Linked DNA regions of Nothobranchius furzeri. The protein of the gene in region 1 purifies or fractionates together with the protein of each later gene. This does not show direct contact. Links are inferred from orthologs where the notes say so. Each region holds a gene or a part of one and is shown on either strand. Other genes may lie near its edges.

What was found.
Region 2: the proteins of mlf1 (region 1) and dnajb6b purify together in Homo sapiens (affinity purification with mass spectrometry; 3 studies listed by BioGRID and IntAct, counting the BioPlex papers as one, with this or other methods). This does not show direct contact. The link is inferred for Nothobranchius furzeri from reciprocal best matches to the Homo sapiens genes MLF1 and DNAJB6.

Annotation. Positions count from the first base shown.
Region 1 is NC_091753.1:40,111,450-40,127,944, reverse strand, and holds mlf1 (myeloid leukemia factor 1), read left to right. Parts: upstream 1-6,586; 5' UTR 6,587-6,716; coding exon 6,717-6,763; intron 6,764-7,059; exon of another isoform or gene 7,060-7,086; coding exon of another isoform or gene 7,087-7,103; intron 7,104-7,210; coding exon 7,211-7,373; intron 7,374-12,782; coding exon 12,783-12,827; intron 12,828-14,293; coding exon 14,294-14,374; intron 14,375-14,463; coding exon 14,464-14,592; intron 14,593-14,681; coding exon 14,682-14,841; intron 14,842-14,928; coding exon 14,929-15,067; intron 15,068-15,204; coding exon 15,205-15,271; 3' UTR 15,272-15,943; downstream 15,944-16,495. Other genes in the region: rsrc1 (serine/Arginine-related protein 53), read left to right, coding at 716-823, 3,525-3,617. UniProt on the Homo sapiens protein: Involved in lineage commitment of primary hemopoietic progenitors by restricting erythroid formation and enhancing myeloid formation.
Region 2 is NC_091747.1:47,482,136-47,497,770, reverse strand, and holds the end of dnajb6b (dnaJ homolog subfamily B member 6b), read left to right. Parts: intron 1-523; coding exon 524-692; intron 693-779; coding exon 780-850; coding exon of another isoform or gene 851-885; exon of another isoform or gene 886-1,376; intron 1,377-8,251; coding exon 8,252-8,410; intron 8,411-9,972; coding exon 9,973-10,082; 3' UTR 10,083-10,776; downstream 10,777-15,635. UniProt on the Homo sapiens protein: Has a stimulatory effect on the ATPase activity of HSP70 in a dose-dependent and time-dependent manner and hence acts as a co-chaperone of HSP70. Plays an indispensable role in the organization of KRT8/KRT18 filaments.

The DNA.
Region 1 (16,495 bases):
ACAATCCTTTCTTTAATCAGCTCGAGCTCCGGAGATATGGCAACACTAGAGGGACAGCCAGCTTTGTCCTCATTTAAATTCCTTTCAAATAGTCCATTAGCTCTAAAAGGAAATGAGTGCCATAAAGTTGCTGCTACTGTGTGACGAAGCTCGGTTTTAACAGTGATCAACAGAGTAAACTAAAGATAGCTGAAATGAGAGGAAAGTAAAAGTTATTATACACGAAAGTTAATCAGGAGAGATTTAATGCGTCTCTTTAGGCTGGTGTTGGCTGCACATGTTAGTCCTTCTCTGCCACCTGCTGGGCAAATATCAAAATGCTCAAAGAAATTGTTGCCTCTGCTGCAAACAGCGTGCCTAATCTTAACACCAATTTTTTATCGATATTTTCCCACCAATGTACAGAAATCTATCATTTTTGCCAAAATGCAATAATATAATACATTTATTTTATAGAGGTTTCCAAAGTTTTAGCTTTTTATTAAATTTTTTTTGCTACTTTTGATATTAACCTCCTTTTTCTTTGACGAATGAGATAAAAAATAATGATAAGCTGTAGAGCTTTGCATTTCTTTTTCATTTCTTAGGTGACGTGTAATCATATTGAATGTATGCACTGCATGTATTACCTCAGCATTAACTCCAATTTGGATTTCGTGGTACTTTTATTAAATTTTTGTTTCTTCTTCCTTCCACTGTGTTGTTTTGAACACAGACTGGGTCAGCTGAGGTGAAGCAGGAGTCACTGACTTCATCTTCTCAGGACATCTCTTTCCCCTTGGCGATCATTTACGACGACGATGACACGCTTGCTCACCCCAGTGTAAGTTCCCACCATCAAACCCCAAGTCATCCCAAGTTGTCTTTCAGCTTCATATAGGCATCTAACCTCCGAAGCTCCTGTGTTCACATATGTGGACATTGACTTTTTGCACTATAATGTTGTAGTGGCCCTGCCCACTGTGGAACAGGCAGTAAGTGAGGTGCATTGTGGGTAATGGGTTGTCAGTAGTTTTGTTCCATTTCGGTGTGTTTTGCTAAGATTATTGCCAGGATTGTGTCCTTAGTCTTTTGCTCAGTGTTCTGACTCTGCTATTTTTAGTTTGTGTCTATTCGGCACTATGAGTAGGGGTTCCAGTCCGAGGAATGGGACCGCGGTACCGTTTGGATGTTGAACAAAGTAGTTAGAATAAAGCAGAACCGTGCCCATCACTCCTGTTCTTAAATCTCTACACTAGTTACTAGTAAACTGCAGAACAGATTTCAAAGTGCTTCTACTAGTTTATAAATCACCCAATAGCATGGGGCCAGAATACATGTCAGATCTCCTTCCTGTACATATGCCCAGCAGGGCTCTGAGATCCTTAGGTCAGAATGGGTCAGAACCAAACAGGGTGAGGCTGATTTTAGCTACTATGCTGCACACAGATGGAATCAGCTTCCTCATGACCTCAAATCTGCCCCAACTCTAGTAACTTTAAAATCAAAATGGAAAACCTTCATGTTTTCATCAGCCTTTGAATGACTGCTCTTATGCTGCACCTTCTGCACTGTAACTGCTCACATTTTGTTTCTTTATCATTTTTTAATTGTATTTTCTGTCTTGTTGACTTTAATGTTCTTGCTGTTCTTGCTAATGGAAAGCACATTGAATTGCTTCTATGTATGAAATGTGCTCATATAAATGAAGCTGCCTTGCCTTGACTCTCTGGAGTCGATGTCCTTGATCTTGCTGGGTGCTAATTGTTAGCAGTCTGCTCTCCCCGTCACCTTGGCGTGGAATTTGCCACAATATTTTTTTATTGTTATTTTTGAGACACTTGATATTTACTTCAAGTGTAACTTTTTTTTCCTTTCTTTTCCTGGGAGGAAATTTGTCAAAACTGTTTATTAAATGTTTATGAATTTTTTTCACATTTATGAGAGTCGACTAATCTGTACTGGCTAGAAATGTTTTTTTCTTTATGAATCACACCAAATTTGGGTTTCACGAGGTTAAAAAAAACTTTCAAACTTCAAGAATTTCAATGTTGATCTCTCTCCATGTCATTTCAGTTACCACCATGTTTTTACGATTGTGGACTTTTTATTTAAAAGTGCCTCTACTGCTTCTAACGCATCAACACTTTCCTGCATACTTTGATTCAGAGCATCATATCACACCGCAGTATACCAGTTTATAGTTTCCTAACACTGCCTCCTCCTCTAGCGGCAAGCCAATGATGAAAAACGAGAAGGAAAACTTTAAACTCCAATAACGCTCCCTGGGGCTTCCCAGTCATCTATCTCCACTGGGGAAACTAAGTTATACCCTGATGTATGCAGATAACCCACTCACACAGATACACACACACACACATGCATACATACACTGTCAGACAGGCTGATATATGGTAGCAATATGCCCCAGGCGAGCCCCGGCCCCTGCACCATCTCCAGCTCCACTCCCAATTAGAACAGATGAGTCCCATTAGCCCGGTTCAGATACTGTCATCCCACACACACTGCCTCGTTAGCACCATGACACCAGCTCAGGGCCGACAGACAAGAACTCACTGGTACTGATTCTAACACACAGATTACATGCAAGCGTAGCTGTACGTAGCGTAGGCTGGAGATGAAGGATGGACGTGTCTGGAGTTGCTCCACCATCTGCATAGTAATAGACATCTGTATCATCCCACAGATGTACAGTATGTACACATCACCAGCATGTCAACATTATACCTCCCCCTGCAGCGAATATAGGAATAATCTGACATTTGTTTCCAATGTCCCAGTGCCCTGCGTCTCAGTCGTTGTGTTACTTCCTAATAAACAGATGCCTTCATTCATCAGACACTTGAAGCAGCAGTTTCACGACCCTCTTACAGTCAGTATCATCTCTACCGATGATGTACAGCGCTGGGAATAAGTAACACATGCAGGCCTTTGTCTAGGAGCGAGTGTCACAGGACTGGATGGCTTCTAATAGACCGGCCTGAAAAGACATGAGAGATGCACCTGTTACTGTAGTATTAGAGCATCATAACTGTCTCAGCAGCTACACTCAGGTGGCTTTAAATGAGCAGCGCTAACAACTCTACTCCAGGAACTTAAAGCTCTTTTATTAGTCAGAATGGGAGATGTGTTAGAGCCAGACCCAAAGATTCAAAATAAACCATTTTTATTGTACATTATAATTAGTTACAACATGTTATAATTATAAATGCATTTGTGTGACCAACAGATTCTGTCGTTGTGGCCAGATCACAAGGCTTTAGGCACATTTAGGAGTCAGATCAAGTGCGAAAGACTATTTTTTCCCCCTCAAAACAATTCCTGGAAGCAGATTTAATTGTTTTTGTTTACATTTGCAACTTATGCTCATCTTACTGGAGATATCACTCTATAATTGTTTTTATACACATCTTAGGATCTAATACTAACATCTATGAAATGCTGTCAAACAAAAAGCTAAACTGTTTCACTGTTTTCTTCTGTTTCAAGGCTTTTCAACTTGACTTCTTTATGCTTTTCTGCAGTTGTTCATGGAAAAGGAAACAGCTGAGGAGCTGTGGCTGAACAGACTGATCTCCCTTCGACAGGAGAGGCTGATGGGAAGTCCTGTTCCCTAGAGAGCAGATCTTTCTTTTTCCAGTCCAGAGCTGCATCTTATTTGTCTTCATTGCTTCTCAGTCATCTTTTAAATTATTTCGAGATCATTGCAGCTTTTTTCAAACTCCTTTCTCTCAGGACCTGTGGAGCAGTTTTTGTGTCCTGGTGTTGCCTGTTATTTTTTATTAAAGCTAATGAATAAATGAACTAATGTTCTTTATTTGTCTTTTGTAACTTCTCATGATGAAAATGTAAATGTCAGGTGTTATTTTTCTGAGTTGATGTAACATTTGATGCCTGATGTTCAATATAGTCTGTTAAAGCTGCTGTTTTTATAATAAAAACATTTGGTGTCGGATATATTGCCACAAATTTACCTTGTAGTGGTGAGGATTGACTACATATTTGTTAAGTGATCAATAAGATGTGATATTCTATATAAATATGAATCTGATTGATCTTTAAATATTTGAATTAATATCACTTTAAGTTCTTTAAATATTCAACACACATTTCATATTAATTCAGACAAGAGTCAAGTATATAGTTTTATAAAAATGTAATTCTATTTTTCTAAAGTAGTGATTATACATGACAAAGTATGAATGAAATGATGGTTGTACAGATAACAGATAATGAATGAAATGGAATGTAAGCTAGATGGTTGTAGCAAGACCTTGTAAGTATCAGAGAGATCTCGTGATGTCTGGGTTGTAAAATCAGTTTGGCTGCATGCTTTAATAAGCTACAGTTTATTTATAAAACCAACACAATCGTGCAGAGTCTACGAACACTTGTGTGACTGTCGCTCTAAGCCGTTTGGATGAAAGGCAGCCAGAGTGGTGATTTACCGGACCTCGTGGCCACAGGAATCTCAAAGAGCCGTAGTTCCCTTTGAATTCAGATTTCTAGTCCGGCCATGAGATGCAACCAGGGTCTGCAGGTTAGACGTTCCACGTCTGAGGTTGTAGTGTCTGAAATCACTCGCAAGCGTTGCAGAGAAGCTTTGACCTTGGGGTCAAAAGAGAGGATGGTTCCAAATGCTTGCTCGCCTGTCGGTTGAACCAGGAGACCGCTGGAGAATTAAACAGATCAGGAAGCGATCCTTTCAGAGGTGTGACCAAGTCACTGCTTTGCAAGTCACAAGTAAGTCACAAGTCTTTCCAGTCAAGTCAAAGACAACCAAGTCCAAGTTGAGTCCAAAGTCAATGATGTGGAAGGCCAAGTCCTTAACTTTGAATTTTCAAGTGATATTCAAGTCATCTGTCCAACTTCAATTTAATGACGATAATAAAAAAAAAATCCAGAAAAAAGCTTTTTAAAGCTTCATTTTTTGCTCAAACAAGCAGAAAGTGCAGCCGAAACTGATTATGAACAAAGTGCTGCTGCATTTAGAACAAGATCAAACCCAGAACGAAGAATGACTTATGATTTTTGTCCATGGTGTGCCACTTTTGTGCTAAAATATCAAATATGCCCAAGTCAACAGATGCAAGTCGATTCAAGTCGTAAGTCTTTATACATTTTATCAAGTCAAGTAAGTCATTAAAATAATGACTCAAGTCTGACTTGAGTCCACACCTCTGGATCCTTCTATTCATTAATTGTTGACAAATTTTAGACAAATCAGAATTTGACAAGTTTAAAGGCCATTACCAACATACCTCAGAAGATCCCTCCTTCACTCCGATACTAAGAGGTTAATTCTTAGTGAGAAGTGAAAATGTTAAACATTAATAATAATATTATATTATTGTGAATATACTGATAGATGAAATTATATAGTCAACAATTACTAATCTGGTGTTGATCTGAAATGAATCATTACAGGAAAAATATTCATTTTAACCCCTCGTTGATTAATGTAGACATTATTTATGCACTTTGAATTTAAACAAATTTTTCATTCAACAAGAGATGATTATATGACACTTATAAAATTGTAAAGTCATTTATGTCAGGAAAGATAAACTTTATTCAGAGAGTAAAAGTCTCGTCTTCTGTATGAGGTCTTGGGTTCCAGCAAAGGTAAGGGAGCTAGGGGAAGGACTATTATGGCTCCCTTATTCAGTAACAAGGTCATCGAGCAGTGCTTGTCTGATCTGGAGACCAGATAGCTATGATCTGGCCCAGGATGTGTGATGCAGTTTGTGCCTGCAAGTTAAAAGTTAACTTTTGGTCATTTAGAAGAAATACTTACTTACTTTTGGTACACTATAACATGTTACTCTAAAATTTTAGAAAGTTTATTTAATTTTTAATATTTCCCTTTAGTTTGTTTCAAAACAAACATTAAAAATTATATGACCTAACACGTCTTCAACTTTGCTGTTAAGCATGCAAACCACATTGTGTTTTCCAGAGTGTTGTGTCAGTGGTTTGGTCTAAGATTGTTGGCCACGATTTATGGCGTCTATTCATGGGCTCACCAGATGGTAAACCTATGAGTCTGAATATAATACTCTCTTCAAATGATCAGTGTTGAAACTGAATATTTTAGCTTGTAAACATGATTTACTGCATGAAACGCACACATGGCTGCTTGAGTACTTAATTGCAATTAATTTTGTCAGCACATCTTTCCAGAATTTAGTTTACCCAGATTCATATGCACCAAAAATTAGCCGTTAAGATTTTGTTTAGTTTAGTTTAGTTTAGATTTAGTTAAATAAATCCCACATAAATTATGTTTCAAAATCTTAACAGTTTACATTAAATAGGCATAGCTGAAAAGTTACAAAAATATGGGGATTTTTAAAATAATAATAAAATAATAATAATTATTATTGTTGTTGTTGTTGTTGTTATTATTATTATTATTATTATTATTATTTTGACAGAGTAGATAAACGTTTTTTTAATGAAAGAAAGTTCTCGAGTGTCGTTGCCACAGTAGCCGTTCACAACATGGAGCGCGTGGACAGAACCTGTTTAAAGAGTCCTGCGAAAGTAACCAATGAGGGAGGCGGATTTCTGTCACATGAGCACCGTTCGCTTTGGCTCTAACTGCTTGACACCTCCGTTACTAACGGTCAGGCGAGACTGGAGAGCTCGGTACAGATAATTACTTAGTAAATTTCCCAGTTCGGTTTGTTTTTGTGGTTTTAAAGTCCGCGGAAATGTTCAACAGCATGCTGAGGGATTTTGAGGAGGACCCGTTCTTTTCGTGAGTAGTAGCACCTGTTTAGATGATTTAGCTTCAGGTTAAATTATCAAAACGAAGGCGTAGAGAACCAACGCAGATTATTTTAAGCTAGCAGTTATGTGTCCCCACATAGTTGATGAAAAACAGTTTTGTTATTTTACAGATATACATTTGAATTATATTTCAAACAACTTCACACAGACACCGAACTACATTAACTTTGACAAGCTCCATGAGTTAGTGTGGCCACACTCAACCCGACTTCTAAGTGTGCGTAGGGGTGGCTAAAATTATTTTGGGGTGCGTCTTATTTCAGTCTGGTGTGTTCATTGAAGAATTCACCCATGAGCTCCAAGTTTGTGTAAGGGACGAGTCATGTTTCTTTTTAATCGACCGATGGCTGACATTTTTGTGACTGTTTTTAAATCTCTCCCTTTTTTTCTTTACACTTCTCATATTCTCTGACAGAGATCAATTCCGTGCTCACAGAGAGCAAATGAGGCAGATGATGCGTAGCTTCTCTGAACCGTTTGGTGCATCCTCGTTTCCCAGTATAACCGATGGGAGAAACCATGGACGTGACGTGGGAGTTCATCCCAGTTCATCACTTGCTCTGAGAAATGAACACAGGGTGAGTACATCCAGTTCAGAATGCACTCTTCTTTCAGGCATTTGGGTCTGAGACGTGTAATGTGCTCATTTTTGGGGGGCTGAACATAATTCGTACATTTTGGACCCATGACAAACGACAGGGTTTTGACGAGTCTCTAATTCTTAGGCAGGATGCATCCCCCATAGTGTACCTGAACCTTGTAGAAGTACAGGGCCGTGTTGGTCTCTGGTTTAGTGGAAGAGCAACCCCCTTTGCCTCTTGTCAGCTATATCCAGCCCTAGAAGACCTATTTTTAGTGCATTATTCCACTAACGCACAACTTTTTTGTAAATACATGCACAAACATCTTTGAAGGTCCCCTGAGAATTCTGCTTTACTGGTATGAGCTGCTGCTGAGATTTTTCTTTATATTTTAAAGAGCAAGTCACTCCCTACCAGAGTCTTACCCCCAAATTCCACTACCTCCGCTCCGCTCGGGTCCGCCCCCGCCTTCCGCAGCCGCTCGCTTCAGAACTCAATTTTTACTGGTACCTGCTCTACAACGGCTCCGCTCCGGTGCGGAGACCTGAGGTGGGCAAACAAGCATGCGCGGGATTTTCGAGATCTTGCGATACAGTCCGAGCAATAAACGCGGAAGTTATCCAAACACCCGTTGTGTGGGAGAAGCATCGGCATGAACTGTTTAATCTGCCCATCATTTGTGTTGACAGATCAGCAATGTTTGGATCAACAAAGTGTGACTACTTTGATAGTAGAAACTGTATTTATGGCTTACTTTTGTGCATTTAAACTTCAGCCACCATTGATAATTGTTAAAAGTTGTTAAACCTGTGCATATGAAACAAAAAACGCCTTTTGTTTATCGATTTATTGTGAAAAACGGAAGATGTGCTTGCTCCTTTTCCTGTTGTGCGGTTGTGATTTCTGTCCATTTACTGCGGAGGTGCTCCGGCGTCCGGCAAAAATAGAATCAATCCTATTTTTGCTGGACGCCGGAACAGAGGGCGGCGCGCGGCGCCACACTGCCGGAGCACGGCCGCATTAGTGGAATTGCTCTGATTGACTACAACGGGACCGATTTTGCTCCGGCGTTCGTGTCGGAGCGGAGTGGAGGTAGTGGAATTTGGGGGTAAATCCACTCCTACTTCCTGTTTCAAAAATGCAACAAATGCTGTTGCCTGGCAGACTGAGACGGTGGAGCTGCTAACAAATACACTGATACTCACCACGACATTGTGACATCATAATGTACCAGCTAATGTCATGGTGTACCTCTTAGCCAATAACAGATTTAAAGAGCAAGTCACCCCCAAATCAACTTTTTTTGCTGATAAATTATATAATTGAGTGTCAAATCATGCTGTAAACACGTGCAGTCAATAATTTGGCACTTAAGTGCATTTTTGTTAAAATTAAAATATTCTGGAAGACTGGTAGGGGGTGACTTGCACTTTAAAGAGCAAGTCACCCCAAATCAACTTTTTTTTCTGATAAACTATATAAATGCATGTCCAATCATGCTGCAGACACGTGTAGTCAATAGTTTTGCACTTTAGTGCGTTTTAGTTAAAATTTTTATTTTCTGCCTAAAACTGTCAGTGTCAGGTAAAAACTCTGCATTGCATTTGAATTTAAATCTGCCATTGCTATTGGCTAAGCAGTACCCTAGAACATTAGCGGGTACTATGGTGATGTCACAATGTCATTGTGAGCCTGTGTGTGTGTGTATTTGTTAGCGGCTCTGCCCTCTCGGTCTGCTAGGCAACAGCATTTGTTACATTTTTCAAACAGGGAGTGGAGTAATACTCTGGTAGTACAAGAGACTTACTTCACTCCCACTTAATGTTTAAAAAATGCAACAAATACTGTTGCCTGGCAGACCGAGAGGGCGGAGCTGCTAACAAATACACACACACACACAGGCTTACAGTGGCATTGTGACATCATAAGGTACCAGTTTACATCATAGAATACCTCTTAGCCAATAGCGGTGGCAGATTTAAATTCAAATACAGTGCAGAGTTTTTACCTGACGGGCGCAACACTGACAGTTTTAGGCAGAATATTTAAAATTCAACTAAAATGCACTGAAGTTCCAAATTATTGACTACACGTGTCTGCAGCACGATTAGACACTCGTTCATGTCGTTTATCAGCAAGAAAATGTTGGTTTGGGGGTGACTTGCTCTTTAAAGAACAAATCACCCCCTACCAGCGTGTTACTCCACTCCCACTTCCTGTTTGAAAAATGTAACAAATGCTGTTGCCTAGCAGGCCGAGAGGGTGGAGCCACTAACAAATACACACACACACAAACACACACAAGCTCACAACGACATTGTGACATCCTAATGTACCAGCTTAATGTCATAGTGTGCCTCTTAGCCAATAGCAATGGCAGATTTAAATTCAAATGCAGTGCTGAGTTTTTACCTGAAGAGAACACTGACAGTGTTAGGCAGAATGTTTAAATTTTAATTAAGATGCGCTAAAGCGCCAAATGATTGACTGCATGTGTTTACAGCACGATTAGACACACATTTATATAGTTTATCAGCAAAATAAAGTTGATTTGGGGGTGACTTGCTCTTTAAAGAAGCTGTCAGAATGACTCTTTAAAGAGAGTTGTTTTTCTTGCCGTTCAAAGCAAACTATGCTCAGATGAATGGGCCATGACCCAAATTATTAAGAACGAGATGTTCACAGTGATTGATGTGAAATTTTCTCAGGCTTGTTTGTTTCAGAGGCGACAAATTAGTCAATTTAAAAAAAAAACTTTCAATTTATTTGGTAACTTGCCATCAGTATGTGAAGAGCATTTCAAGAAATATTTAAAATGATTTTCATTTGGATCCAGATGAGATGCTAACACAGAGTCATCATGTTGTAAAATCTGCTTGTTTGTATCATAAGAAGAGGAGCTGAGAGCATTAATCATGAACTTTTTACTAATCTTCTACTCCCTTCCAAGTTATATTGATACTCGGTCAAAGTTAGTCACAGTCACTTGCTTTAATCCAAGTCTGTCACGGGAGGCTGTATTTATCCTTGATAATGGCTTACTTCAGAAGCATGGCCTTGATCACGTACCGTGTGCTTTCTTTTTAATAGCACCGTGCTGCAAGCAGCTGGACTTACTTTGAGTGCTACACATATAACCTCGTCAATAGAGACTAATACACTTCAAATGATCCAGCTAAGAAAATTAACTTTTAAAATCTCTTGGCCTTTTTTGACAAGTGGAAAAACAGATTTGTTTTCCAAACAAATGAGTAGATGTCAAAAGAATGTGTTATAAAAGAGAAAAAAACAAGTCCAATAACTAAATTAATATCTATAACACACACACAAACACTCTCACACACACACACACACACACACACACACACACACACACACACACACGCGTCTCAGAAGATAAGAAGTTCAAACCCACAGTGGTGGAAAAGCTGGGGCTGTTGTAACGGCATGTACTTCATGTTCAGATGTCACGGCTTCTCTGTTTTCTCATTGTTGCTCTTTTCGTCCATCTGCTTCACAGAACTTGGCATCACTGGCACATTAGCAGCTAGATGACAGACAGCTCGCTCTCAAGCTGTCCTCCAGTATCACAGATGCAAATGCACACACACACACACACAATACGGCATTAACTCGTTTGCAGATACAGGGACACGCAGTTTCACTTTGCAATATTTATGCAACGGCATGCATGTACACAGAGAAGCACACACACACACACACACACTCTTAATGGACAGTTATGTTCCTTCTACAAGCATACCATGAGATTCCCAGTGGAGGGAAAAGTGCTGTCTACCATCATCGGCCTCTGAGTGCTCACATTTCTCTAGCTCCTGCCAATCTCCACTAACAGGGTCATGTTACGTTTCTTAGTCTTCATTCATCGTGGCACTTGTTTACAAAAGTACTGTTGGGTAGCAGCACAGCCCCACGTCCAAACAAGCTGTCAGAACTTCTATCAATAAAAATGGAATGTGATCATTTACAAAAAAATTAATCTTTAAAAATGTAAATTTTTGATATTAGCTAAACATGTTGTAATATAATTTAGGGTAGTTATATTAAAAGATTTTTTTTAATTATGTGGTTGTAAAATGTCTCACAAGTGATGGATAACAGACCTGCGACCTCTGCCCCATACTAAGTGCACGTCAGTTTCAGCAGTCAAGAGATCACAAAACATGCCTATAATGTGTTGATGAGTGTGTCTGTTTTCCTTACTTTGCTCTGTCTCTCCCCTTCTCATGCTCAGTCTAAATATAATGCTCACAGATATGTAACTGGCATTTATTAGATCATAGATACCACTGTGGGATAAAGCTGGCAGTTCAGGAGCGTTTTACTTCAGCTTGACCTTTGAAAAGAGCTGAGAGAGCAGCCTTGGACTCTCTGACCCCCTACTGGGTCTCTGTCCTGACTGGTCCACCCTGCCTGCTGTAACCTTCCTAGAATGAAGCTCAGTTATGGTGTGAAACCCCCTCTAATCTCTGGCAATGTGACCCAATTACACATGGAACACAAGTCATTCAACACCCCACTGATTACACACAATAACTCTGCACATCACAGCCTGAGAAAATACCCTCACTCACATAGTGATGGCAGTTGGGATGCTTATCTGGGGCAACAGGGGTCACAAACACCTGTGGACTTGGCCCACAGTACATAGATAGTGACTTGAGGGCTGCAAGCTGCACCCATCTTACTCATTTGTTGGTGGCTGCAACTCCAGTAAGTTAGTTGCTTTGAAAGTCTGTAGAAGACCATGTGTAGAGCTGTTTGTAGTAGATATGTTGGCAACTTGGTGATTAATGGAAAAGAAAATCAGCTACGCTGAGAAATATGTAGATGACATATGATGTTCTTTTAGAAATGTCAAAAATAAATGCTAATGAGAAACATCAGTGTTACACAGCTTTTTGGTGATGTTTATGCTGTAATAGTCACTTGGTTTTATGGTCATCTTGAAAATTGTTGTTTTAGGAATGTTTAAAAACATATTTTAGACAACCAGCTGTTTTCTAAACCCGCTTCATCCTTTTTTTGGTCCTTGGGGCTCAGGTTCCAGCAACCATTAGGTGAGAGATGGAGAATGTCCTGGACATGTCACCAGTCTATCACTAGACTCTAGACCAGTGGTTTCTAGGCTATTTTAACTTCTGACGCACACAATTACAAAAGACTTTGAATAAAGATATTTTATAAAAGCTAAATAAACAGACACCTTCAGCTTGTATTATTTTACCTTTAGCCATTTCCACTACTAATAGAAAGTGTTATCTAATGTAGTTTTGAAGATCATCTCAGAACCCCAAACTCAGTATGACCCACATTGTTAAATAAATTGCGTGCAACAGTTTTTTAAAGTCTTCTATGCATCTAAACTGATGTTTTAATCTCCAGGATATGAGCCGGTCATTGTTACCCTTTGGCAGCACTGACAGCACGGTCAGTGGAAAACGAAACCTCTTTACTGGCAAAGTGCATGCTCTAACTCTGAAAGTACATCTGTTCCTTCATCTCTGACTCGTCAGTTATCCATAGCATACCAACTTTATTTCTATAGCATAATTTAAACTACAGCGTGAGAGCTGACCAAAGTGCTGTACAGGCAGGATCAATAAAAAAAGAGAGCAATAAGGATCTAAACAAGGCATCAATAGCAGATAAAAACAATAAGAACAGTAGACAAAACACAACAGTAACAGTCTGAATGCCAAGCCATAAAAGTGAGTCTTTAAACGAGACTAAAAGCAGGCCGAGAGAGTGCCTGCCTAGCTCTAACAGGCAGTGAGTTCCAGAGCGTGGGGGCAGCATGGGCAAACGCGTGTTCACCCCGTGATTTGTAGTACACCCGGGGAGTGCAGAGAAGCAGGACATCAGCTTACCTCAATTTGCGCATAGGTACTTAGGGGGTGAGAAGGTTGGACAAATAGGGAGGTGCTAGGTCATGTAAAGCTTTAAGAACAAACATCAATTTCTTAAAACGTACACAAAAAGTGACGAGGAGCCAGTGAAGACATGGCAGGACTGGGGTGATATGACTACGCCGGCTTGTTCGTTAAAAACCTAGCAGCAGCGTTTTGGGTGACCTGTAGCCGGTTCAGGGCAGAGACAGGAGTACCTACAAGTAGTGTGTTTGCATAGTCCAAACGAGAGGTAATGGAGGCATGGATGACTGATTCCAAGTGCCTCCACTTCAGGATCGGTATTAGACGGGTCAGGCGGCGTAACTGATAAAAACAAGAGCTCACCACTGAGTTTATCTAAGGAATCATCGAGAGGTTGGCATCCACTTACACCCTGAGACTTATTACACACTGCTTAGGGTTTAAAGTTAAACAATCAAAAGCGGAGTGAGAGCCAGAAGGATTGTGGGGGTCAGAGACGATGGATTCCGTCTTTGGCAGCCAGCCAGCGTATCACTGGTCAAAGAGACCCCTCTCAAATGATACGTATGTGTCTAAGAACAGATCAAATACTGTGTAAACCAAACTTTATTCTCACCTTAACTGAGGCTGAGTTACTTGTGTCAGCAGAAAAGATCATTAATGTGAGAGTGGGAGTTTTTTGCTCATTTAGGATTAAAATAGCTCATTTAAAACATTTTCTATAAATCTATTTATGAAGAAACGATGGTTTGTCTTCAATGCATGACTTTGTTCTTGTTTTCTTTAGAAGGAATGCTAAATGTGTAATAGTTAATGTTAGCATGCATGACTAACTTAGACGTCACCAAAACATATTTCTTAAGGTGCTGAAAGATCAATGTTCTGCTTACAGCGAATGTTTAACACTCTACACCGGTCATGTATATGTGCACACATGATGGAGTTGTTTACAACGTTCATGCATGTGTTCAGCCTTCCAGCTCTTGTTGCTTTGACTGATATTGCTGTGTTTTGTTTTTACAGGGCATGCACAATCATTTTGGCATGTTGGACAACATGATGGTCAACGTGAGAAACAGGATGGAGGAGATGCACAGGAACTTTGTAAGTTTAGTCAAATAAACAGCCTGGATTGTTCAACTGCTGTTCATAATAAATGCTGGCATGTTTGTGTGTGTGTGTGATTTTTTCAGGAGAACATGTCCACAGATTCAAACTCCCACTCCTTCAGCTCCTCATCAGTAATGACGTATTCAAAAGTCGGTAGCGAGCCTCCGAAGGTCTTCCAGGCAGTCTCATCAACTCGTCGTGCCCCTGGAGGGGTAAGTCTCCTGAAAGAGTACATTTTGATGTTTTAAACCCTCAAAAGTGAAATTATTTGTGAAGACTGACTCACACTGGTTTTTCCCAGATCAAAGAGACCCACCGAGCAGTGAAGGACTCTGAAAGTGGTCTGCAGAAGATGAGAATTGGACATCACATCAAGGACAAAGGACACATTGTTGAGAAGAAATACAACAAGAAAACAGGAGAGAAAGAGCTCAGCCAGGACTTTCAGAATATGGATGAATGTATGTTAAAGCATTCCACTTGCATCACACTTTTGTCCTGCTGTAGGGTCTTCCACCACCCCACCTAACCTGAGCTTTCCCCTTCAGCTGAAGCTCAGTCGTTTGATGATGAGTGGCAGCAGGAGTTGTCCAGATTTCAGCCATCACACCCCACGTCTTGCCTGAGACAACCTCCATCCCGTTCAGGCTTTCAGGCCGCCCTAATGGGTCCTGAACACTCCCATGGGTCAGTATTCACACCACATGAACAGAAATAACACACTTTCTGTCCAACACAGATATAACACAGAAAGAGACCAAGTTCAGCTTGTGTATCATAATGTGATCATTTGTTGTGATTTTATTTTATTTTATTTTTTGCAGGAACCAGAAAAAGCTCGAAGCTCGAGATAAAGATAAAACTGAAAGCTCAAAAAAGACAAGTCAATAAATCACCCGTCTTTCTATTCATTAGGCTTTGAGCATCATACATCCCACCTTATACATTTAAATAGATTGTTACCTATGTCAGCCAGCCGCTTACATCACTAGAACCAATTTTCCCAAGCAATTTGTAAAGTGTGATTTGATTTGTTTGAAATGTGATGAATGTTTATTTTTTGAGTCTGTTAACCAAAAAAAAAGAAAGAAAGAAAGAAAAAGAAAGAATAAAGACTAATGGCAATAGTCTAGTTATACTTGGTGGCATTTTCTGAAGCTGAAGACAAAGTGAAAATGTAATTTGTTTTGTGTAATAGAATACAGCAATTTTCTATTTAAAAAGCACAATATTATATATGTAAAGATTTAAGCCTCTTATTGGTTCACAAAGTCTGAGAAGAGGTCATTCATTTTAAGAGCTCTTTTTAATGACTAAATTAAACACTTAAGAAATCCACAGATGCATATAAAAATATAGTTTCTGTTTTTAATGTGTTTTCTCTGCTGTAATCTTTGTACTAAACACACGTGCACTTCCCTTTTTTTCCATCTCATGAACTCTGCTGCACTACACAAATGCTAGACAGCATGTGGCTTCCTCTACGTTTTGTTCATCTATTTTTGCATATGTTAAAAGTACAGTCTGTCGGCATGTGATGTCTAAATAAAAGAGGAAAGAATCTTTGTGAAGTTTTCTTTAACCGTTCAAATCTAAGATTTATTTTAACAGTTGCACAAAAAGAAATTTATCTATTTGGAAAATAAACTAAAGAGGTAGAGGGGAACCTCTTTTGCACAGTGACCCCAGGTGGTATTTTTGGATCCAAGTACTTGTCAGTAGCTCAGACTGGGCTGAGATGTTGCACAGCTGCAGCCCGCCATACTTCCCTCTTACGTGCAGGTGTTATCAGGCCTTCTTTCTTTCTTTGAAACTAATAGGAGCATAAAAAAGGAAAAAAAAAAATCTTTGACAATTCTGGCGTTACTAAGCCATCATTTTGTTGACAAACTAAAACAATATCAGCAGACTCACAGGTAACTAAAGGGTTTGACAAATTCTTTATGGAAGTTGTGGTTTTGGCACGAGTTACCAGAAAAACCTGTTTTGCCACATTCTGAATAAGAAGTAAAGCACAGCACCAGTAGAAAGGTTTTACTACTAAATAAAATATTTTACAAAAGACTACACGTGCAACTCTGTCGCCACCTGCTGGACATTACAAAACAATTTACA
Region 2 (15,635 bases), on another chromosome or scaffold:
TGGAGATTTTAGTCTCCAGCAGCCTGTGCGCTTTAATTGATCAGCTCACAGCGCAATACTCATTTTCCACCAGTAGGTGGCAAAAACACAATATGCATTTATTAGAAATAAAGAGTTCCAGCACCTTCTAGCATGCTAGCTAGCTGTTTCCTGTAACAGGAGCCCTATTGACCAGTGCTTCAGAGGCATGGTGTTGATTGGCCAAAAATTCTCAAGTTCTCCCTAGCAGCCAAATGTGATTGGCTGTTAAGCTGGAATTGAGGGCTCCTTTTTCCAGGACTTCAGGAGTGAAACTAATGAGTGTGTTGAGAGGTCTGTTGCTGAAGGACCACCAGTTGGTGTTTACATCATTTTGAAACGACAATCGCCAAATTCTTCGTTTTAATAATTTTAAAACTTTTATACTGCTGAGGCTGAACAAGTAGAATAACTTTTACACAGAAATGTGCTTCGAACAGGCTGAAAAATCCCCTGAAGAGCAAGTATGACACCATTTATTAACCATTCCTTTTCACTTTTTAAGGTTTTGCCTCGTTTGGAGACATGGGTGGTGGAGGAGGATTTACCTCCTTCTCTTCTTCTTCATTTGGTGGTGGATTTGGAGGAGGAGGTAGAGGAGGAGGAATGGGGAACTTTAAGTCCGTTTCAACCTCCACCAAGATTATCAACGGCAGAAAAATAACCACAAAACGGTATCTGGTTGTTGAAACTGACCCCATTCATATTCTACTCATCTCTCTCTTTTAAACAAACTTTTTTTTTTCCTTGTGTGCGATCAGGACTGTGGAGAACGGCCAGGAGCGGGTAGAAGTGGTGGAAGATGGTCAGTTAAAATCTCTAACAGTTAATGGTAAGGAGCAGCTACTAAGACTGGATAACAAATGAACAAAAGGTTTTCTCCTCTGGATAAACTCTGGCAGTCAGTCTCTCCTCTCTCTGTCGTCATGCATCTCATTCCCAAAGAAGAATTCCCTCATGTTAGCTTAGCTGCCAGGGAGGTGAGGGACGTCTTCTCTGTGTTTGTAAATTTTTATTTATTCCATTATTTCAGGGAGGAGGGATGGGGGACCAGTGTGTTGGGATTTTTTTTTTAATATAAATATATTGTACTTCTCTGCCATAAGCACACACATGCTGTATATTTTCCTTTAACTTAGGGTGTGTATATTGTCGTGTTGTGGCAGGAAAACAAATGTGTACATTAGACCTAAAAGCATGTGGTTTTTGCTATTTCATTTGAGCAGTTTAACAAGTGGATGAGAACTTTAACCACCTCACCTTGGTGTTTTTAACATCCGCTTCACTCCGCTAACCTGTTTGCTATTATCCATGCGAGTGTAATAATTATTCATTAATAAATGAATTATAACACCGTGCATTTTTCTTTTAGTCTGGAAATGTCACCGTGTGATTGGTTTGTTTCTGCATGACTGGAGGAGGCTGTGTTTATTGCTTCTGCAGCTCAACCTGTGAATCTCAACATTAACACCTTTTAGCAGACACAGATGCGGGACTTTGTTTTTGTTCTTTGAAGATTAAAATTTGGTCAATAAAGTTGAATTTGTGAAACTTAATGAAAACACTGCTTCCATCACCTGGTGTCTGTAGTTTTTACTCTGATTGCGGTGTCATATGGTCGTGCCACTCATGAATGTGTGTTTCCTGCTTGTGCATCATCACCGATTAAATCAGCTTCACACAACGGCAATAAAGAAAAATCACGTTTTGCTGCTTTTTCCTGTACGCTCACCAGTTCATCATGCACTTCACCTTGTGCATCATTTAACTGACTAATGCTTCAGTGACTCACATCAGGGCTTGGTCACTGATACTGCTGTACAGTGATTATGCTGCGTGTCTTTCCTCACTAAAATCTTGTTCATTGTTCCTTGAAAAGATGAACGGTATTAGTGAAGCGTTTAAACCCGCTGATCTTTCTGTACAATAGGAGTGTTTTACCTTTTCAAACCAGTTGGAAATGGAACAGCACCCACTCCTGGCTCCATAGTCGCCCCTCCCTGCTGCACTTTTCTATAGGGTTATGTAAGTTTGTCCTTAAAATGAACCCAAACTGCAGAGATTCTGCAGAGTGTGGCTCATGTGCAGCCTGGAAATGTGCAGTTATGTGATTTGCGTTTAAACGGCAGATTTTGATCCAAGATTGGATAGGGTGGTGGCTGCAGCTGGCCCAGGAACACAGAAATGAGTGTTTCTTATGGAATGTGCCCAAGGCTAGTCTATTTACACAAGCCCCAGTGCGTGTTCTTGTGAGGCATGTCAAGGAAACTGAAGAATCAGGAAAAAGAAAATAACTCAAACGCTTCAGGGTTCCGAGCAGGAACAAATGGTTACTTTTCTATGACTTAATTTAGTCTGAAATGATATTATTTTAGAGAACATGGCAGCTCTTCATCCTAACTTTTATCAGTGGTGTAGAGTGAAGCAGCGTTATACGCATGCGCTGTCCTGTTGCTAAGCGTCCAGTCAACTTTTCCTAACCTAGCTTGTAAACGTGTTTTCTCGCAGTTTTTGTGCTAGTTTATGCATGTTGCGCTTAAAGAGCAAGTCACCCCCTACAAGAAACTTACTCCACTCCCACTTCATGTTTGAAAAATGCAACAAATGCTGTTGCCTGGCAGACCGAGAGGGCGGAGCCACTAACAAATACACACACACATAGGCTCACAACGGCATTGTGACATCATAATGTACCAGTTTACACCGTAGCATACCTCTTAGCCAATAGCGGTGGCAGATTTAAATTCAAATACAGTGCAGAGTTTTTACCTGATGACGGCGCAACACTGCCAGTTTTAGGCAGAAAAATTAAATTTTAACTAAGATGCACTGATGTGCCAAATTATTGATTACATGTGTCTGCAGCACGATTAGACACTCGTTTATTTAGTTTATCAGCAAAAAAAAGCTGATTTGGGGGTGACTTGCTATTTAAAGTGGTTTTAGTTTTTTTTCCCCACCAAATGAAAAAATTAGGTTATTTTTATTACGAAGAGTTAAAAAATGGTAAAACGTTTGAACCGACATGTGTTCATGTATTTATTGGACTACAGCCCCCTCTAGTGGGCATTTAGGGTTGTTTCAGTGTTAACCTACCATCATTTAGTTCAATGACATTTTTTTACTGTACAGTTTTGACTTACAAATTTCTTCCAAAACACAGCCAAATTTAAAAAAAGATAGGTGATTCTACAAATTTACTATAAGCACGAACGATTTGGGTGCTGAAGAGACGGATGGTGTTAAAAATTTGGCTCCAACTTCAGCTCTTCCTCTGAAAACTATTACTAAGCAAGGTTTAAATGTATGCCGAGATGTTTACATGTCTACTGTTCTTATGTTTAAACTCTCAGTGTGAAAACAACCCCCAAAACGTTAGAAACCTAAAACCACTATTATTCTGAAGCAAGGTCTCAAGACTAGTTTTTCCGACATTAATTCCAAGTAAAACTGGTAAATATTAGTATTTTACTTGATACGATTAGTAAACCTAGAAAACTAAAACGGCGTTAGTTGAAAATAAATACCCTGACGTGTGTAATAAAAATAAAAGTGATTATTCCCCCCCAGACTATTTGAATCAGGGTTGTACAGTCATGTGGCCACGAGATGGCGCCGTTGGAACTCAAAAGACTGCGCAACCTCTGCGTCGTAAACATACAAAGGGAAAATTACGTTTTTTGCGAGCAACCACGAGATCTGGAGCCTTGTTGGAATCATATACATACACATTTATATTTTTAAAATAAAGTTTTTCAAATACAGCATTAAAAACATTTATAAAATGTATTTTTTATACAAGATATGAATTATACATAGATTTAATACAATCTTTTAACTTTTTTTTTCCACACGTCTGATATGCACCCTCCTCTCACACACACATACGAAACTAGACAGCTTAGTACGAAACCAGGGCCTTGAGCCACTGGCCACTTTATGAATGATGGCTAAGATAGGCTGCCAGCTTCTTTTTACCCATGTCTGAACACGGACTCTATCTGTCTGTGCTCAATAGAGAGGTCCCATCAGCATGACACCAGATGTCTTGAACCTTTGGAAGGTGGGCTGTTGAATTTAATCTGGTTGTAGCTGTCATGTAGGGTTAGCCCCTTTTGAGCAGTGATTTATTTCAGGCTCCTTTAGTCGACAAGTAAAACTCCATCCTGCTGCGCGCCAGGCTGCATTTGTCCATCACATATAGATTTGGTGTCTTTGTGAGTTTAGGTGCGTCTTGGTGCTTTATTTAAGTCTAGACATTGTGTTTCAAACACGCTACATTGTTTAAGCCTGGAGACAAATGACAGCCACTCTCAAGACAATAGCAGCAAATGAAAGCATCGAGTTGCTCCGACATGTTCTCTCGGCTCTCTCCTTGATCCAGAAAAAATAGGCCAGCTTTATGAAAGTTAAAAGCCCTCATTATCATCACAGCTCTTTGATATGGTCTTTGTTTAAATTAATTAAATGTTGTTGGATTATGCAACCCAGTGGCAGATGGAGTCTTATTACCTGGGTAACTGGACTCTAAGTAGATGCAAATATTGATCCTCTGGGGTAAAAGAGGCTGGAATGGAGCGCACAACCTTGAAGTCACAAGTGTTTTGGCCTAATCCGGCTATCTACCTTCACCTGATGGGATCACAAAACAAATGCAAGCTGGAATGAGATTTCTTTTCCAACCCCCTTCTTGCGGTGCCTTGAGAGCCAAGCCACCACTTATCCTGTTCACTGAGATCTGGTGTCTGTACAGTCAGCACCGTGTTGTTTTTCCCATTCAAACTACACTCAATGTAACAGTTTGGTTTTTAAACTCTGAAATAAATCAGTTCAAGTGCAAGGCCAAAAAGGGATAAATCACCACCAAGTTTGACCATAAAAGAAGAACATTCTGTGTAAACTGCTCAGCCAGTTTCAGCCTCAACACAATGGAACAGTCTTTGTGACAAAGAAATTGGACTTGGGTCAAAATGGATGACCTGTGTTAATAAGATGCCCATTCAAATGGAATTTAAATCCAGCAACGCCTTTGTCTCAGTTAGAGCCTTGGCTCAGGCCGTTGTCCCTCAAAACTCTTGAGCTCCACCTGAAGGAATCGTTTCAGTTTGGTAGAAATGTTGTCTGTCCGCTCAAAATATGAACCCAAATCACCAAATGTTTTACGGTTAAAAGTTAGAAATAAAACAAATCCTGAAAATATGAAAATCCCAGGTACAACAGAAGGCGGTTTTACTCCACATGATCTAATCAAAACTCTTTTCAAGCCACCTCTCTGATGTCCATAGCCACAAGTTCTGGCATCAACGTTAGGTATAGACATTCCACACAATAGAGGAACGTCGGTGGCCAATTTTTCAGTAGCATTAATGTTGAAAACTACATATTCTTCCAGCAATATTAAGGTGGTTTTCTGGCATTTGTCTCAAAAGCTCAAACGCAATTCGGACGAAAATCTACTAATGGATCATCTGGTTGTCGGTCTCGCTGAACTGCTGCACTTCCACGCTTCCCTGGGTCCTCCACTCATTACAATCTCACAAATTTAGCAACGGAACACCTCTGGTGTGAGAGGTTCTCCACTCAATACTATCAGAGTAGGAGAAACAGACGGCGGCTACCACTTCAACTTTAGGACAAACAGCCAGAGTCCCAAAAAGAAAAACACCATTTGAATTCACGGACAACAAAAGACATTTGGACGTAGAAAACAGTGACTGGTGTTTTGCACTATCTCGTACTGAGACATTTAGATAGTCACTCTGCTCAGAAAAATATAATAAACTGACCAAACTGATCAGATATTGTCAGAAAATTATTAAGGATATACTTGTGAATTATTCTGAAACATCGGAAAACATCTAAAAATATTCCAAACTTTCCTTATTAGGTAACTGTCATATGTTCATGTTTGCAGTTTCACTGTTATTGTGGCTATAACAGATGCTTTGTTTGTATGATTGAATGCTTAAAAGTGACGTAGCTGCAGGTAGCAAGATGCAGCATTTATCCCAGCTGGACTACTTTAATAAACCACAGTTAAGCAGTGGTGCCCCCAAGGGGTGGCCAGATGGGGGGGGGGGGGGGGGGGCATGGCCACCCCACTGGGCCTCCCAGCGAAGACACCGTCCACCTTTGATTAATCAAAATGCAATACATACAGTTATAATTATTGGGTATATAAATCAGATTTTATATATATTTTGTGGAGGTTCGCCATTTTCAAAAAAGTCCAAATCTCAATAGTTTCAGGTTTGTGGTTTTCAACGAATTTCTTTAATGGCAACATTTTTGCAAGTTTAGAGGAGACGCAAGCTGGTAACTATGCCTGACAGTTTAAAGGATTTTTTTGTCAGACAATATTAGATCATGTCAGTTATGTGCAACTAACGTGTTTTCGCACTGACGTCCTGAGTGTGGTGCAAAAAAAAACCAGATGGTGACACCTGTTAATCATACAATTTGAATTCCAACAGTGAAAGAAAAATTTAACTCGTTTATTTTTATTCATGTGATGTAGCAAGTAGCAATGCAATTTTGTAAATCTTCTGTAGGACTACTTATACAATATTTCTGCTATACACAAAAATATCTTTGATGTTTTGATACATTTTAATAACAATTTAATGTAAAAGTTTTTGTTACTGTACCCTTTTAGCCACCACTAGAGGGAGTGGCCTCATTCTTCCTTTGCTAATACACAGCCATAGACACATACACTTTTTGACTGCAGAGAAATTGTTAGAATTGTCACCTGCCAAAAATAATAAGACATATTTTCTGAAGCAATGAGACTATTTGGATCGGGAAGTTAGATGTTGAGCTGCAGTCTGTAGCACTTGTTGGGTTGTAGTGAGACGGTTGCAAGTTTGATTTCCACAGCAGCCTTTCTGCATGGAGTTAGCGTTCTTATCATGCATGCGTGTGTTTTATCCACTTTCTGCCCACAGACCAATAACATGCATGTTAGCTTGATTGGAGATTCTAAATTGTCCTCAGGGTGAGTGTAATGGGATGGACTAAGCTAGCTTTCCAACTGTTGGAGACACATTTTAAGACCAAGTTCAATGAGAAACCATTTTTTACCTGTCATTTTTTAAATATGATCAGCTCTGAATTTCACATGCAGGCTGAACGTGAAAATAGTCTTGTATACCTGTTCCCTGCATCAACCGTCAATAGAAAATAAATGGGGAAGTGCCCAGGTTAAAAAAAAGCCACATGGATCTGCATCTCGCTGTAAATTAGCATTCATGGACTCATCCACCTTGGCTCGTGTCGGGGAAGGTGGTTAATTTTTGCAGCCAGGAGAGAGCAGAGTGTGTCTCAGCTAGTAGATGCTAACCGTTAGCATCAGTCACTCCTTCAGACTTGTGTTATTTGTGGAGATAAAACATAAACGTTGCAGAGCAAACAGAGTCAGTGGTAGAGTTGCATTGCTGTTAGCCAATCAGAGGCAAGGTGTCAGAATATCAGGAAATAATAATGAGTAAGACTCACAAGGTGTCTTTTTACACCAGAGACTGCTGCAAATGTGTTGAAAAAACAAGTGAACTTGGTCTTTAAGGTAGTGACCAAAACACACCCTTATTTTACTGTGGTGAAAACGCCTCAAAGATGCGTTCTCTGTTTAAAACTGGACTATCTTAAACCTTAGAGGGGTGCAGATCCTCCTAAACTAGACCGGTTTCAGCAGGACGAGCATCTGGCCTCCTTCACGTCTCCTCTCCGCTGCCTTAATTACACAACACAATGACGATGAGATCTGCCTGTAATCTCCCAGCATAATAACCCCCACCCATCCACCCCGTTCCCTGCCTGCCACTAATTCAATATAAATGTAAATTACCTCGAGAAAAGAATAAGCAAATCTCATTTTATTTACATGACTAATCACAATAAAGTCAGGCAGATGAAATATGAATGGAATATACAGCTGGGGTGTGCGTTTCCATAGAGACTTGTTTTAGATGTTATTTCTTTTGGGGTACATCAATATACCTTTTGGACTCTTGCTCAACTTGTAATAGATGTGTGTATCTATTTTCTCCTGTCTGCTCGTACGCACACTGCCAAGGGCATCACAAAGCAATATGTTTTCCCTTTTTTTCTATAATACACATATCTGAGGAGAAAATGTAAAAAAAAAAACGACTTCATGTTGAGCACCTCGGGCATTCCATCCAAACAGGATGAGTTTAAGTGTGATTTATTCCTTCTCCGCTCACGCCCACAGACCTCGCACCTCAGGATCCCTTTGAGGAGGAGTTTCGTCGCCTCAGACAGAACGCGCTTCCTGGCTTCGGCCTGCACCAGCGCTACCTGAGGAACTCTGCCCAGAACCCCTCAGAGGAAGAGGAGGAGCACGGCCCACAGAGCCAGGGACTGACGAGAGGTCCGCCAATCTGCCAGTGCAGGCCTGATTAATTACCAACACACTGAGCTCTCCTTTAAAGAGTCTTAATGAGCGCAGCTAATTGTCGGCTTTTGTGTCTGATGGCCCCACAAAGCACAAACGACGAAGAGTTGCGTGTTTGATTGGCAGATGTAAACACAGAGGACAGACATGTTCATTAGGCAGCTCTGTTCTACGTCGCCGTAACGACCGAGAGGTCAGAGTCCGCCCCCTGTTTTCCTCTACGGGGTCAGGAAGTCAGGCACAAAAGCTGAGCAATTATCTGCAACACAGTCGCTGAATGCTTCATAATGGCGGCTTCGTTAGTTAAGGAGGCAACCTTTAATTTCACCGAGCATAGTTCCTGCTGAGATGCGAACAAAAGAGCGTAATTCTCTCACTCAGATGCACAAACAGCTCGAAAATGTCTCCTCAGAGAGCTTAATTTACAAGTTTTATTCCTGTAAACCTGAGTTTAAGCCCAAAATCGGATTATCTTTACTAACGTGTCATTAATTAGTCACAAACGCGTGTAAGCGGGTTACAGATTTATCAATAATTGTTGCAAACTTGATCCTTTATCATCTGGATCTTCTGGTAATAAAATAGCTTAATTCCAACCATGCATATGTTAAAAAATGACTTTGTATTCAAAGATTTGCATAAATAACTACCATTTTATTAGAAAATTCTGAATAAAGTTCAGTTTTTTCACTTTCAATCACAGCAAAGAGGCGCAAAGTTAAACAAAAAATCACACAATTAGAATTCTGAGAGGGTTGCATTCTGTATGAATGTTCATTATGAACGTTAATCTAACTAATCAGCTAGAGCAAAACAACAAAATCAAAACAGCCTCACAGCCTGCAACCAGCTCAGACATACATTGATTGTGTGCAAAATCAAAAAGTCAAATCTCAAGTTCACTCATGCAGCAAACCTTCCTGCTTCTAGTCAACAAGCAGAATGTAAATAAGTGAGTTACTCTTATTTTCTTTTCCTGCTGCAGCTACAAAGATAAATAAGTAAATAAATAAATAAATAAATAAAAGACTGGATTAGTTTAAAAATGTACCTGAAAACCATCTGATACCTTTTCTGTACCATGTTTAGTAAATCATGCGTATGCATTAAGATTTACTTACTGACATAAGTATTTTTATTTTTGTACCTTTTTTACACAAGTTTGCTTCTAATTAGGACAAAAAATACATGTACTGTATCCTGAAAATGGCATTAAAACAATAACTAACAGGACTGAACTCAATACATAATTTCATATCATATAAAATAATAACAATACTACAATAATACTACTACTAATAATAAAAATTGGTACTTACCACTTGCAGTGCCATCATCCACCAGAGAGCAGCAGACAAAATAATGTACTAATCCTGATAAAGAGATAGAGCTAGCAGAAATACAAGTTATGATTACAAATTAGATTTATTTTAGCACTCACATAATAATTTAGGCCACAGTAAAAGGAATAAAAAGAAAAACATTTAATCACAGCTTATAAACATTCTTAAATGCTTTCTTTTTGTTTTACTTTGAAGGTCACATGGACTCCAAGAGAAAGAAGCTGTGGCTAAAGGAGGCAGACTCCAAAAAGAAACGATCCGCTCGACTCTTCCCTCGATTGAATGGATTCGGCACCTTTTTCTAAAACACCCGGCAGGTATAAAAGTAGTTGTGTTGCAAAAGAGCCGTCGGCTACATGTGGCATTAGTATGATTTTTCTAAAATCAGAGCCGACAGCATCGCTGCTGCATCAGATCTCCTCCTATCTGCAGTATAAAGCTTAATTCATACCTGCTTTCATCAGCCATACAACACCACAACAGCAATTTTTATATTTTATTCTGATTGTAGACGCTGCAGTGGTTCGCTTGTTGCTGTTGTTGTTGAAGCGTTGGTCTTCTCCAGGAGGCCTCCAGATCTTAAACAAATCTCTAATGACTGAACTGATTTCTGCAGCTTGCTTTTTAGGCTCTTGAAAATGTTTGGCTGCAAAAGAGAAATTGCCTGATTTGAAATAACCATGAGATGTTGAGGTTATGGCATGTGAGAGACGATGAAGGTCAGTCTATTTGGTGCAACAGGCGACTTTGAAAGTTTCAAAGAAATGATGCTCAGTCCTAGTACTTTTACCAGTATTGCACCTTTAAAATGCAAATTTTAAAGATTTTTTTGTAGCCTAATCAACAACACGCTCTTTTTGTGTTTTTGTAAAATACAAACTCATTTAGGATCTTCTGACAGATCGTTCTTGTAATAAACTGCGTTTAGATGTGGAAATGTGAGACAAATGTTCACATTTTTATGGACTCTGACAATAAATACTTAAATAAAACAAAGAATATACTCATCGTTTTGTTGTGTAGGACCACATTTTATCACCAGGAGAATAATCTCAGGAAGACATCAAGCTGCTGAGGCAGTTGTGATAAGATATCTGCTGTTACAGTTCAGCGGGTGTTATCAGCCGCCTGTCCTGTGGGCCGGAACATTATTACTTCAAAACAGTGGCTGTGTGTCATTACAAATCAAGATTGAAAAAAGAGGAGAACAAATAGATTTTAGCCTATTCCACATGTCTTTGTCTAACCATGAATGAGATGTTTTTGATTTAAAGGTGCAGTGTGTAAGGATAACGTAAGAATTTTACAGTGATATAATCCTAAAACAGTCTAATGTCTCAATTACGTTGGAAGGAAGGTTATACTCAGACATATTTCATTCTCAGCCGGCTGCTGGGGTTGTCAGGTTTTCTCCTTTCAAAAGTCTGTGGGAGTGTGGGGTTGCCGTGTCTCCTGCGAGCTAGTGTAGTTTGTAATTCGACTACAGCTAGCAAAAAGCATTGTTGAGAGTTGTACAAAGAATCAAAGCAGTAACTAAAGTGACCCAGAAGTTATTTCAAGTACCCCTAAGAAGCCAATGCATCTTTTATTTTCTAGTCTAATATCAGGTAAAGAAGCCTTGAGACTAGCGTTGAGCTAACAATGCTAACGGTGAATTTGAAGCAAAGAGTCAGCTATAAAAATATCTCAAGCTACTTTTTCAATTACCAACAACTCGACATCACAGTGAAATCTATGTGTTAAGTGAATAATGAGTCAATCGTGGTGTTTTACTTCCTGAAATGAGTAGATCAAAGCAATAGCTAACTGTAAAATACCCAATAGTGCTAGCACCAGATATGACAATGTGTTTATCTACTTATCAACTTATTGTGTTTGACTCGTCTTTGCTTGTCTCAGCTCAGTGGCCTAGTGATACAGTGTCTCCCCTGGGACTGGAAGATCGGGGTTCGAATCCCAGTCGGGTCATAGACTTTAAAGACTAACTAAACCCCAAAATAACTTTTTTTTTGTTTCTAAACTGTATAACTGGGTCTTTACCAATGCAGTCTTTCTGTTTCTGTGTATTTTTTGACAAGTTTGTAAACTTGATTAAATCTAGAATTTAGGTCTAAAAACGTCTTAGTGCTGCCCCCTTTGGCAGAACTGTGGCTACTGCATTTTATATTTGTGATGCTGGTACAATTTTACGTCATCGATACAGTCTCCTCCCACTCCCCCTCCCTCCCAAAATGGAAATTCTCCACACTTGGCCATGCCACACCATGCCTCCTGGCAACGCCCACTTTCATAGCATTTTTCAAATCTTGACTAGGGGTGTAATTACATTTTCTGATGGTGTGCAGTCCCTCTTAAAAAAATGGGACCCAATGCCTCCCTGCTTGATAGTCAGCTTTAAGGGGTTGGATTGGAAGGTTAAACCACCAAATAGTTCCCAAGCGCAGCCGTGTCTGCAGCTCACTGCTCCGTATGGGGATGGGTCAAATGCAGAGGACAACCATGGGACTTTAACTTTAACTATGGCATCTAGAATCTTCTGGTGATGATGATCCGCAACTGGCTACAGCCATAAAACTGACGAAACAGGAGTGACACACTGCACTTACACACTGCACCTTTAACCTCCAGTAAACCTGCTGGAAAATGAAATTTAAACCTCGACAAGTAGATGTGAGGACCTTTGTGCACCCAAACCCTCCTTTGAAGTGTAAACTAAACAGGATTTTTTGATATACAGTAAGCAGTGTTTCTACTATAGAAATTTTGGGGAATTCGGGAAAGTAACCGGTCCTCTAAGCCATTGTCTCCGTACTAAAGCTGCCTTTTCAGGACTTCGCTAAGATGTCAGCATATTGCAACATATTGCGACTTTCCCAGCATTTTTATGGTGTTATGACTTTAGAAACAGCTTTTTCAAAGCAGCATCAGTACTGCTTATTTTTGTCATATAAAAAATATAAATGAATGCCACTTAGCTGTTAAATGTTTCACTGTGTTCTGAAGAAACCATTTTCTTCAATTCAGCAGAGGAAGAGAACATTTTAGTGGGCTTGTGAACATTTTTTCAGTATAAATAAAATAACATAGATAGAACAAAATTAATAATAGGTCACTCCTCTTAAAAGTAATACTAAAAGCTTTACCATAAAAAACAGGAAAATTTGAGTTTGTGATGAATTCAAACACAATCAGTTCATCTCTTGCAAGTAAACTACGGCTGAACTAGTTAATTTATCTTTCTTTTTGTATAAATAAACATTGAATATGACACAAGACAAAACACGATGAATGAAAAAAATGAAGTACGACAATAAAACAAGTCATACAGAAAAGAATACAAAAAAGTGGTATGTTGGAGGTACCGTGGTTAATTATTTAATTCATCCAAGATTGTACAAGCATTCAACTCTAAATCTTGGATTAAACTAATTCAGCATTTATTCAAGATCAAAAATGTGTTTTATCACATACATGACATTTCTTACATTTTCTCTTTTGTACTTTCTTGTATTACTTGTATTTTCTCTTTTGGTGTAATGAATAAAAAGGGTCAGTTTCCACCAATGAATTGGCACAGCGTAACCCTTCATGCACTCCAGAACTGCAGGGTCAGGGTTGTGCCAGCTAGAGGATCCAGACCTACAAATCAACCTTTTTCTCACTCATTGTTCTTCAACGCAGACATAAATAAACTGTCAAGGTCTCACCAGACGCAAAAGCCTTATCTCTCTTTGCTTAAAGTCAGACTGCTGGATTCATCCCTCTGAATAAAAGTGAATCAACACGAATCCGACAAGAGTTTTACATCTCATGATATAAATAATCATACGTGATGAATGAATAGGATGTCTGAATCAGGTGTTTGAATAACCTGTGCTTAAATCAATGAACTTGAAATGAATGTTGTTATTACAATGATCCATTCATATCACCAATCACTATGTGCTTGATTTAACAAGTTAATCATTAGCTACACTCATACACATCTTCATAAGATATAAACTAAGGTTCACCTCACATAACATTTAAAGATTCTTTATTCACAGAATTAAGAAGCTTGTCTCTGAAGGAAAGAGTGGCTTTCTGAGGAATGTTTTGGTAAAGCCTTCCAGACATGGCACATTCTGATTTGCCAGAACGGCCGGAAATAATATAATAATATTGGGGTTTAATAAAACAGGATTTACTTCTCGAATAATTCAGTTTCCAGCTGAACCCATTTCCAACAAATTGGGGAAGAAGCCTCTTTTGAAACACCTCTTTTGACATACAGTCAACCTGTTTGCATGCTGCAAGCTGACATGGCCAGACGGTTCCTTAAAAGCTACATCCACCTTGGACGTAGACAAGCATTCCAGCTACTGTTGTGACCTGGAGACATCCCAAGACTGGACGGGTCGTATCGGAGTTTATCCTACGAATTCCCGGTGCCCTGAGGTCCACCTGACTTCTGACAGTCCGAATCTGTTGGTGGTCTCTGCCAGGGTTTGTAGACACAACAGATTGTGTCTGATGCTGTTTTATTAATGATCAACTCTCTAGTTTATAGCAGACAACAAATTCTTTTACACCCAGATTTCACAATTTTTTTCAGATACAAAGATTCTGATAAACATCTAGCTTACATCACACCACCTCACACATCACATTCCATCACCGCATATACACTCCATCACATCTCACTATTCATATCTTGTCGTGTATAATCATTATTTTAGAAAAGAATAAAATTCCTTTTTAACTATATGCTTGACTCTGTCTGAATTAATACGAAGTGTGTTTATGGTCCCTGAACAAGCGAAGAACCCTAGACTCTTCTGATTAAACATTAAAAGATCAATCAGGTTGATATTTCATATTTATATGGAATGATCACATCTTGTTAGTCATAATTAATTTGCAGTCATCACGCTATAAAGTGTGACCGCTATACTGGTGAGTGGTAGCTGAACAGGTGCAGAGACAAAACACTCTGGATTTCCAAGTCACACGAGCAGACCCACAGAAAGCAGAATCCTGTCACATTATTTTGAACAAGCCTGCAGTGTTTTGTATTATTCATGTGGCAGAACTTGTGCACATGACCCAGCAACTCATTTGGCCCTCATTCTCGTACAGCCAGTGGTCTCTGAGGGTTTAATTAAGCTGTGTCCAAGCGGTGGCCCATCTCCTGCCATCGCCTAAAATTCTACATTTCTTCTTCTCTTAAAGAAAACACTAACACTCCTCCTACTCACTTTCACAAGAGGACGTGTGTACTTCCTAGAGAGCAAAAGGCAGAGAGGAACAGCACAGCATCACTGGCTGGCTCTTTCTTAAATCGTCTAAATTAGGTGAAGTGTTGACACTAGGGATCACCTGTTTTACTGATATCCGATACACGATATACAAATATTCGATATATCAATATTCAATATATCAGTATCTGACATATCGATATATCGATATTTGATATGTCAATATCTGATAAACCAATATTTGATATATCAATATTTGATATATAGGTATCTGGTACACTAATGTACTAATATTCCATATATCAATATTCAATGTATCAATATCTTCATAAATAAATATTCAATATATCTGATAAACCAAAATATGGATATAGTCTAACTCTTAAATTCAAATAACAAAAGAAGAAAAACTAAATAATTTCCGTTAAGTAACGTCACATATCTCCTACCATGCATATTTAATTTACCTCAATTTAAATTTGGCCCCAAAAAATATTTTTTTTTCAAATACTAGACCTTGGATACTTTTTTTTTTTTTTTACATTTTGAGAGAGAGGACAAGTAGCCGAAAGGTTTATTGTAAAATATGTGCATGGTTTGTAACATTTTTGTCTTTAAAAG